Drosophila melanogaster: one gene and its partner. The protein of the gene in region 1 purifies or fractionates together with the protein of each later gene. This does not show direct contact. Each region holds a gene or a part of one and is shown on either strand. Other genes may lie near its edges.

Region 1 (3,375 bases):
AGATTATTGATGTTTGATTACTGCCCGATTAGATTCTGTTTCAGATATAACTTATACTGCCATCTTCTCCATATTTTTGTTACTCTAAAAGTTAAAACCTTTAATTGACTTGCATTAGCTTGAAATAGAGTTTTCATTGAATTTGGACTTATAAAATGCTGTATTTGGCATCCATCCATTCAAATTAATAGTCAAATGATTGATTTAAGTTAAGCTTGTAACCAAAAATCCAAAAATAGCAGATTTAATACGTAATGGCTACTTACATGTATAATCGATCGTGTATTCCTACTATACAATCTTGATAAGCATCAACAGCAAACTTTCAAAGCTATTTAACTTTCCCAAAGAGTTTCATTTTGTAGGTAGAATAAACAGAACAGACCGATTTGAAAAACAGCCAATATTATTAGGATAACTAAAGAAACCAATATACGTCGGATTTCCCCTATTTATATACCCACTTTGGCAATAACGAATTAAAGGTATAAACGAATAAAGGTATTGTTGGGGATAAACTGATAGGTTAAGGAAGAGTAAGAAACGAGTATTTTTTTTGATAAGAAACAAAGTGAAATGCTTTATTTCACGATTATCTGTGTCGTTAATGGAAAAAGGCACATAGTTTACACATGTACATGAATTTGGGATATGTATGTTATTTTCATTATCTCAGAATAATATGAGATTGATTTTGTCATTTGCTCATCTGAACTGCGAGCAATACTTGTTTCACAGCACATGTTAATTTTAACAATTTGGCCGTGGAATTGTTTTTTTTGGTTATAATAACGAGTATAAGCCCCGATAAAATGTTTTGGTTTTTGTTCTTTGGCAGTGGGAGTAATTCTTGATGAACACGAACTACTGGCGCCTTGAGTATGGCCTCCTGTGCTCGTAGGGAGTGGGACGAAGATCCGCGCGAGCCTTGGCCTTCCGCGGCTTCTTCTCCTCCTCGTAATCCTCGCCAAAGTGACGACGTTTTTCCTGCTCGATGAAAGCCCTTCGCTGGGCGGGAAACAACCCATTGGGCTCTCTCACTATGTTGGCCCTGGAACAGTAGACCTGAGGATCGTAATCGGGCACACTCTCGTCGTCATCCCAGTTCTCCTCGGACTCGATCTTCGCGTGTCTGGTGTCTTCGCTGAGGACAGCAGGAGCGCTGGTCTGATAGTGTACTATAATGTTTCGATCCTCGCACGATTGGGTGTGTTGCTACGTATGCAGAAAGCTGGGCTTTAATAGGACATACAAGGTAACTACTACGTATATTCTGTACTCACAAAGAACTGGGGCTCTGGTATCAAATGGGAACTATTGAAGGGACAAACCATAAGTTCCACCGTGTCTTTGTAGATCACACGGCATTTTAAGATGTGCTGCTGGAGCTTCTTGCGCAGCATTTTGTGCTCCTTGTTGTACGGGCAATAAACCATATCGGATTCGTCGTAGTTATTCATCATGAAACAAAACCTAAGGTTTCGAGTTGCTTTTAAAATGTATTCGTAAAATACAAACAGTCCGGCAACGCTTTATCTACTTGTGTTACTATACCGATAATGAAATGCGATACTTTTCTTAGCCTATCGATAAGCGCAGTCAAAGTGCCCTGATATCGCAGCTGGAAAGTATTTATAAAAGTTGTATATTGGTTATTTGTTTGCAATTTGGTAGCGAAATTGCACAGCAGCAAGATGGGCAAGGGCTTCAACAACTACATGTGCAAGAAATTCTTCCACCCCGCCTCCAGGGACAACTTGAAAAGGGTAAGTGGCTCCGGGCTCCTGATGAAATATGTTCTTCCCCAGCAAAACGCCTAAAACTATAGGGATTACCTTCTGCAGGTCTGGATGGCGGAGCAGCAGGCGGAGGCGTACAAAAAGAAGCAGGAGGAGCTACGCAACCAGTATGAAAAGGAGCAGAATTTGCACGAGAACAAGGCAATGCTCAGCAAGGACAGCAAGGATAAGCTGAGCGTCAATTTCATGTACGAGCCACCGCCAGGAGTGCGAAAGGAGCGCGAAAAAGATGACAACGAGCCGGAGTACAAGTTCGAGTGGCAGCGAAAGTACAACGCTCCTAGAGAGTCGTACTGCAAGGGCGACACCGAGATCAGGGACCAGCCCTTCGGCATCCAGGTGAGAAATGTGCGTTGTCTCAAGTGCCACAAGTGGGGCCACATCAACACGGACAAGGAGTGCACCATGTACAGCATTTCCATGAGCGAGGCACGGAAACTGCACGCAGAAACAGAGGCCAGCGACATCATGGCCAAAAACGTGCTGGAGGAACAGATGAAGGAGGATGGCCTCATGATGAAGCGATCGGCACAGGAGCTGCAGAGCATAAGGGCCATTCAACAGCAACATCAACTGGTGCCCAGCGATGGCGAGAAGGACGCTCATGCCGATGACCAAAATCCCGAACTAGTTTTTCTCAAATCCCTGTCCAAGAAACAAAAGCTAAAGCTGTTGAAGAAACTGGAGAAGATTGAACGAATGAAGCGCAAAGGCGAGGGCATCAAGAAGCCCACAAAAAGGAAATCAAAAAAGGAAAGGCACGAAAAAGATAGCAAGAAAAAGAAATCCAAGAAGGACAAATCGAGCAGAAAAGACAAAAAGGGCTCAGTTAGCAATAGCTCAGACTCCTCTTCATCGTCGGACAGCAGCGACTCCGAGGACAATCACAAAAGCAATCACAGGGACGACAAAAGAAATGGACATCAAAGGACTAGGGACTCGGATCATAGCTACCAACGGCGGAGCAATGAAAATAGGCATCGGAGAGATCGATCCCGCTCCAGAGATCGCTCGCGATCGCTTAGCAGAGACCGAAGAAGGGAGAGGGAGCGCAGAGATCGGTCCAGGCGGTAGAATTAGTTTTGTAAAACCCACCAATAAATTTTTATCAATTTGTATCGTCATATTTAAAATTCTAATTTAATTTATATTTCATTTACACGATGAAGTATGGTGCTTTTTCGTTTTTGAGGAACCAACTAGTTTTTAAAATCATTCATTAGCTTTGCTATAATTATTTATTTTGCCAGCTTGTGATATACATATCTTAAAAAATTTATTGGGTATTAAGTGGTGCTTTTAAATTGCTCTAGATTCGGGCGAGTTGAGCAGTTGTCGAGGATCCGGCGGAGACGCAAAGTTCGGCGCCGTGGTTGCTTCCACCCTCCCGGGAAATGCTCTTCACGTGGATGTGGCTCTTGAGCATTGCAGCACGAAGAACAAGCATGCGGGTATGACGCTGGTACTGCTTGCCCATGATCAAAGCCCGCTCAAAGGTGCTGTTCCTTTGATCCGCCTCCTTGGCGAACAGGATCTTATTGTGGGAGTCAATACGCGCCTGGATCTGTCCGTCTAA
Region 2 (6,999 bases), on another chromosome or scaffold:
ACCTGGAGGACGGCGAGGTAATCATAAGCACCCAGACTACCGAGCATCTAATGACCATATCTGCCGGCCTTTCAGCTATCGGAGAGCGACGATGATGGCGTTTACACGCCGTTGCAGCGACCTGACGGTGCGGAGAAGGTGGCCAGTCCCCTTACCACCTGCCATCAGATCCAGACTGCGTTAGAGGACGAGTCACAAAGCAACAGCGACTCCTCGACTGCCGAATCCTCCGAGGACGGGTGCATCAAGAAGCTTCGTACGGAATCCACCGGACCCGACGGCCACAAGAAGCGGAAAAAGCGCATTCGGCGCACGGTAATGCGGCGCGTTCCGCCCACGGATGCTGAAATGCAACCGAATCGAGCCCGTTTCAAGAAGTACAACGTGTGGGCTTCTGCCCTGCAAGAGGATGCGCTCAGCGAGAATATGCGTGGCTGCGACGTTACCCGAAGCGGTCGGGATCGAAATGTTGAAAACTACGACTTCTCATTGCGATACCGGCTGAACGGCGAGAACACTCTAAAGCGACGACTCTCAAACTCTTCGGAGGACGGCGGCGAATGCTCCCATCCAGCTCACAAGAGGGGAAGACCTTCTAGTCGGCCCATCACCGGGAATCAACAGCGCGGTTTGGTCAAGAGTAGAACGGGTCACCGGTCACGTCGTGGGACATCTTCGGCCAGCGGATCTTCCGATTTCTGCGAGCCCAGACACATTCTGGACTTAAACGAAGTGGGTGAGAGAGATCCTTCGGATGTGGCTACCGAAATGGCCAGCAAACTGTACGAGGAAAAGGACGAATTACTTGGTGAGTATGTGAAATAAATAATGCCCTACTTAGTAAATAATGCCAGTTTTACCAGTTCGAGTCGTGGAGGTTCTTGGCATAGATGTGTGCCTAGAGCTATACAAGGAAACTCAGCGCATTGAAGCCGATGGCGGCATGATGATCAAAGTAAGTAGTAAAGGATGTTCCCCCGAATATACTAACACGATACCTCGAAACAGAACGGCATACGGAGACGTACACCAGGCGGGGTATTCCTGTTCCTAATAAAGCACCACGATAACATCACTCAGGAGCAGCAGAAGCGCATTTTTAGTGAGGATCGCCAGAGTCTGAGCAAGTCTCGAAAGCAGATCGAAACGTTGATGCGGGACCGTAAGGTGGAAGAGTTGAAGAAGTGCCTCAGCAAGCAGGTTACGGAACTGCCGACGTTAAATCAGCGCAAAGAGTACTACATGCAGGGCGACGAGCAAAGTGAAGATAAGCAACCGGGCAGCTGTAAGAAGATCCCATTATTATTGTTAAATCTCCTATGTGACTATTTTGACTATTTCAGTGTCCAACCCGCCACCCTCCCCTGTTGGCGCTGAGCAGGAGCACGACAGCCCTGAGTACAGGACCCACGAGATCAATATAAATCTTGTGGACAATGCGGAACTTCCCTCCACATCCAAAGCAGCGGCGGCGGCTCAGGGAGCGCCGCTGAAGGATTTAATCAGCTACGACCACGACTTTCTGGACGTCAATTGCGGGGACATGGACTTTTTCTAGGCCCACGCCAAGCGGCGGGCCCCTTTTATACTATTCTTGCATAGATAGACCCATATTTGTACAATTAAATAAATGCCTAGCGAATTAGGAATCTACGAAAGTAACGGTTGCTAACAAAGTAAACAAACGCACGCGTTAGGGCATTTTCGGGCTGCGTGAGACAAGACTCGGCCAGGCGGTAGAGATTTCCGCAGTGTCGATCGATAGTGTCAACTCTAGTCGGCCCACAGCGACGACGCCGCGTAAAATATTTTTGTTTCTCCGCATTCGTTGAAAAACAGCGGCAATTGCTTGTTTTTATGTGTGGTGCGCGTCCCAGGCAAATGCAAACGAGTCCGCGACTTCAATTGCCGAACGCCTAACGCCACCGTGAATAGAAAATAATAGTGATGCGAAAGACCCGCTCTCAGACGGCTCGCACGCAGGCGGAAAATGCCGCAACATCTTCGAGCCCCGGGCACCAGTCGACTTCGTCAGCGCCAATAGCAGTTAATCCCTTTGATTCCACCAAGTACAAGGTATGTTTCCGCCAGTCTCAGTTTATTCAGTCCAAAGAATTTTTCATAAATATGGGGGCCATGGTTATTGATAAGCAGTGTGACCGCAGAAAAAAATGGTGTCTGTACCCTTCCCCACCCACGAACAGAGTGATTTGCCAGCCAAATCCGCCGGCGCTTAACAACACTATCATCCGCCATATTTCTTCAGACCGTGCGGACAAAACAAAATTCGTGTGACAAAAAAGGGGGCATTTTTGCGGTAGTTTGTTTAAGTGCAATTTGCGAAAGAAGGAAGGCTGCCAGTGGCGAACACAAGCCTTACCAAATTTTCTGCATATACCAACGTTAAAAGCCACTGAAACCCGATCGGTTCCACGAAAAGAAACTTTTTGCGAGAACGCCATGTTTGAGCATCTAGGTAATGATTTGGTGGCATGCGGCAGTTTCGGACCAGTAAATTATCCACAGATGGGAAAAATGTGGAAGCCAGGCTTTTGTCCGACTGTCAAGCAATCACTTGGCATATAATGTAGAGCGAATTTATGATTTTTTCTGCATAAAGCCGCACAAGGCATACGCATGTGTACATATGTGCGAAAACGCGATATTTGCATATAGAGCGCGCTTGTGTGTGTGTTCGTGTGGACGCTTGGTGCTAAGTCCCGCTATTTGGACATAGACACCTTCCCAATTTTCCGAAATACAAAATTTTCATTGTTCGCCATGCCATTTCCGTCTCTTCAGGAATGTGAGCAAATGGTGCAGATGCTTCGAGTGGTCGAGCTGCAAAAAATCCTGTCGTTTCTGAACATCTCATTCGCTGGACGAAAAACTGACCTGCAGAGCCGCATCCTCTCGTTCTTGCGCACCAACTTGGAACTGCTTGCCCCGAAGGTCCAGGAAGTCTACGCCCAGTCCGTGCAGGAACAAAACGCCACGCTGCAGTACATCGACCCAACCAGGATGTACTCGCACATCCAGCTGCCGCCCACCGTGCAGCCCAATCCCGTGGGCCTCGTGGGCAGCGGCCAAGGTGTGCAAGTGCCCGGCGGCCAGATGAATGTGGTCGGCGGCGCACCCTTCCTCCACACACACAGCATCAACAGCCAGCTGCCTATTCACCCCGATGTGCGGCTGAAAAAGCTAGCCTTCTACGATGTACTCGGAACGCTAATTAAGCCTTCAACTCTGGTGCCACGCAACACTCAGCGCGTCCAAGAGGTGCCTTTCTACTTCACGCTCACGCCGCAGCAGGCCACCGAGATTGCCTCTAATCGCGACATTCGCAACAGCTCCAAGGTGGAGCACGCCATTCAGGTTCAACTGCGCTTTTGCCTGGTGGAGACTTCGTGCGACCAGGAGGACTGCTTCCCGCCGAACGTAAACGTCAAAGTGAACAACAAACTCTGTCAGCTGCCTGTAAGTATTATCCGATTATCCAATCAGGACCTGGTATAATATCCTGCTCTTTATTCCAATGCAGAATGTCATTCCTACAAACCGACCAAATGTGGAGCCCAAGCGTCCGCCGCGACCCGTTAATGTCACGTCCAATGTAAAGCTGTCGCCTACCGTCACCAACACCATAACGGTTCAGTGGTGTCCGGACTACACTCGTAGCTACTGTCTGGCCGTATACCTGGTAAAGAAGCTCACCTCAACACAGCTTTTGCAGCGAATGAAGACGAAGGGCGTAAAACCAGCGGACTACACGCGAGGCTTAAGTGAGTTTTCTGTGCTCCAATGATGCAAACTTAATAATAAATACCATTTTTTTAAAGTCAAAGAGAAGCTGACTGAGGATGCTGACTGCGAAATAGCCACCACTATGCTGAAGGTTTCCCTTAACTGCCCGTTGGGCAAGATGAAAATGTTGCTGCCTTGTCGAGCATCAACCTGCTCGCATCTGCAATGCTTCGATGCCAGTCTCTACCTGCAAATGAATGAGCGTAAGCCCACGTGGAACTGCCCTGTATGCGACAAGCCGGCCATTTATGACAACCTGGTCATAGATGGGTAAGAAATGTCATTTCATTTAGCATATTTGTAACTGATTAAACTCTGTTTTCCAGCTACTTCCAGGAGGTGTTGGGCTCGTCGCTTCTAAAGAGTGATGATACTGAGATTCAACTTCATCAGGATGGATCTTGGAGCACACCAGGACTACGGAGCGAGACGCAGATCCTTGATACGCCTTCAAAGCCCGCCCAAAAGGTTGAGGTTATATCGGATGACATAGGTAATCGCCTAACACGCAACCTTTTAAATTGTTTTGACATTAATCAAGTTTTTCGGACATTACCAGAACTTATCTCGGATGACGCCAAGCCAGTAAAGAGGGATTTGTCCCCAGCACAGGACGAACAGCCCACATCAACGTCAAACAGTGAAACTGTAAGTAGAGAGCACCAATCTACAACCTACCAAACTGTCTTATCATATGACTGTATTCTGTCTGCGCAACAGGTTGACCTAACGTTAAGCGATTCAGACGACGACATGCCGCTGGCTAAGCGTCGTCCGCCCGCCAAGCAAGCCGTCGCCAGTTCCACGTCGAACGGCAGCGGTGGCGGCCAACGTGCCTATACCCCGGCACAGCAGCCCCAGCAATCCGGTACGTTGGATCCCTTTTTGCAATAAGCCAGTAACGAGAATTATATCTCTGTATAGCCAAGAAATCTTTATGTTTACAAATTGCTAATTGTAGACCCTAGGGTAAAGTAGTTATAAGAATCCATACACATCCCATTTACATACATCCACACTGACTCAACCACGCTTCGGCACCAATAATTTAGACAAAGGAATGAAATCCTAACAAGATCAAGCATTTAGGTTTCGGTTCACCTTTTACGGCACACCTCTAGGACATCATTTAACGTAAAAGTATTTTTTTGGTGCATCAATTGTCTTAAATAATATTAGAAAATTTTAACTGCAAAAGTTCGAAAGAGTATTCACATTGTCCAAAATGAAAATTACATATATGTTACATATGATTCTGACTTCATCATCACTTATTGTTATTCAAATATAATTAGGTCCCCGATTCCGCTTATGACTTTAGTGCATCATTTGATTTTAGTATGAGTACACCCAGTTAAAATTAACCCAATTTTACGTGTAGTATGTACAAACATATGTTTATGTTTCAAAAAAGTGACCAGAAGGGCTATTTATCATGATAATTTTGTGTTAGATCTACGGAGTCCAGCATCGAAAAGGTTTCCGTAGATTTCGTAAAATCCCCTAGCCAAAACTTGTATAGACTAAGTAGGCTATAAATTGACTCTATCCGCTTTCGTTGCTTGTATTGTAGGTGGTAATGTTTTTAAAAAACCTCAGAAAGCGGAGGAGCTTTACAAGCGTGTTCATTTAGGAGTTTGGCTGCGCCCACGGTATGTTTTCCGTCGATCGATTGTGAAATGGTTCGGGTTTGGAACAAGAATCCCATACTTAATCAGAACATTCTTACAGAAAACCCAAGCCAGAGAGCTCAAGGCGCCCAAACGTCGGCTAAGCAAAGTTAATAGAGTATTTTTCGGTTTTATACCACCATTTGTCCTAATTCATTTTCAATGTATTTTCTGTTGTCACCGAATCTAAATTATTTCACGATATGTACTCTTATTTTAAGTGATAATTTTAATAAATCATGCCAGTTTGTTAGTGAAGGTTTTTGTTGAGAGCCTCTTTTCCGATTGTTGTTGTGTTAACCTAAACCCAAGGTTATATGATGATAATAACTAAACTAATTCAAGTAACTTGTGCATTTCTTTGTCTTTTTTCTTTCTCTCTCTCTCTTTCTCTTCTTCCCCTGATCTTTTTGTGTGACCCGTCCATGCTGCCGCCGATGCAACTCGTAGAATCCCCAGAACAGCAGGCCAGCCGCCAATCGCCAGAGAAGCAGACAGTCTCAGAGCAGCAACTGCAGCAGCAACAGCACGAGCAGCCAGCGACGGCAGCCGTCCATGCCTCCCTCCTGGAATCCCTGGCTGCTGCGGTCGCGGATCAAAAGCACTTCCAACTGTTGGATCTGGCTGCGGTTGCGGCTGCTGCAGCTGCCACGGCGTCCTCCGGCCAGAGCCAGAATGCCGGCCCGTAGGCAGGACCCACATCCCACACACATTAATCGCACATCTCGCGGCTCGCGGTCTCTTACTGTTATGGTCCCTATATTGGCCCGTCCAGTTTCTGTTTTCGGTTTCACTTCCGGTGGCGCACGGCCACATATTACCTTAGAGGCTATTCTTCGGCGTTCGATTCGCCGCCTTGCATCACCTCATTATTCATACTCTATCAATCGCGAGCCACCAACTGATGCTTGTAATTCTTGTGTTGCAGGACGCAGGCATAACAGACAGGTTTTGTAGGAGAGGGTCCCCTGTTCCCGAATGAATCCATGTGCTCCCCCATCGGCCAGATTGTTGCTGCCCCTTTTTTCAGTTGGCTCACACCAAAACACTTTGCTTACGTCCCGTGTCTTTTATTCGTGTCGTCTCGAGTAGTTAGTTGTGTTACGCTTTGCCAGCGCTCTCAGCAACACACGCCACACCACACAGCAACTGAAATATTCCTAGATATTGCAAATACACAAACTAGCACCAGCATTAATTAGCAATTACTATAGGAAACGCAATTAATTTATTTTCCATTGAAGCGGTCAGCGCAATGAACACTATGAGGAAAGCGAAATGAAAGGATGCATGCCAGGCGGCGGCCAGTCGCGGCACCAAAATTTAAAGTAGTTAAGTTATTTTAGTTAAACTACGGATTCTGTACGGATTGGAGGCGGTGCTGTGTGCAGTTGGAGGGTGTTGCAGTCCTCGCATTTAAGTTACGTTGCAAGACAGGGCGGAATGGCATATGGCATTAAAGGTCCATAGTATTGAAAGCAATCGAAGCCGTTTTTATCAATGCAAATCGATTGGAAACGACGGA

What was found.
Region 2: the proteins of arx (region 1) and Su(var)2-10 purify together in Drosophila melanogaster (affinity purification with western blotting, with the first as the bait; one study listed by BioGRID). This does not show direct contact.

Annotation. Positions count from the first base shown.
Region 1 is NT_037436.4:18,900,037-18,903,411, forward strand, and holds arx (asterix), read right to left. Parts: upstream 1,519-3,375; 5' UTR 1,437-1,518; coding exon 1,284-1,436; intron 1,216-1,283; coding exon 865-1,215; 3' UTR 559-864; downstream 1-558. Other genes in the region: CG6843 (uncharacterized protein), read left to right, coding at 1,695-1,766, 1,845-2,873; CSN1b (COP9 signalosome subunit 1b), read right to left, coding at 3,109-3,375. UniProt on the Drosophila melanogaster protein: Acts via the piwi-interacting RNA (piRNA) pathway which mediates the repression of transposable elements during meiosis by forming complexes composed of piRNAs and piwi proteins and governs the methylation and subsequent repression of transposons.
Region 2 is NT_033778.4:9,114,376-9,121,374, forward strand, and holds Su(var)2-10 (suppressor of variegation 2-10), read left to right. Parts: upstream 1-1,746; 5' UTR 1,747-1,947; coding exon 1,948-2,076; intron 2,077-2,242; exon of another isoform or gene 2,243-2,781; coding exon of another isoform or gene 2,782-2,802; coding exon 2,803-3,477; intron 3,478-3,541; coding exon 3,542-3,782; intron 3,783-3,839; coding exon 3,840-4,074; intron 4,075-4,130; coding exon 4,131-4,297; intron 4,298-4,363; coding exon 4,364-4,452; intron 4,453-4,512; coding exon of another isoform or gene 4,513-4,524; coding exon 4,525-4,672; coding exon of another isoform or gene 4,673-4,698; exon of another isoform or gene 4,699-5,377; coding exon of another isoform or gene 5,378-5,456; exon of another isoform or gene 5,457-5,535; coding exon of another isoform or gene 5,536-5,578; exon of another isoform or gene 5,579-5,730; intron 5,731-5,924; coding exon 5,925-6,163; 3' UTR 6,164-6,402; coding exon of another isoform or gene 6,403-6,431; 3' UTR 6,432-6,441; downstream 6,442-6,999. Other genes in the region: Phax (phosphorylated adaptor for RNA export), read left to right, coding at 1-17, 76-808, 864-955, 1,009-1,285, 1,344-1,558.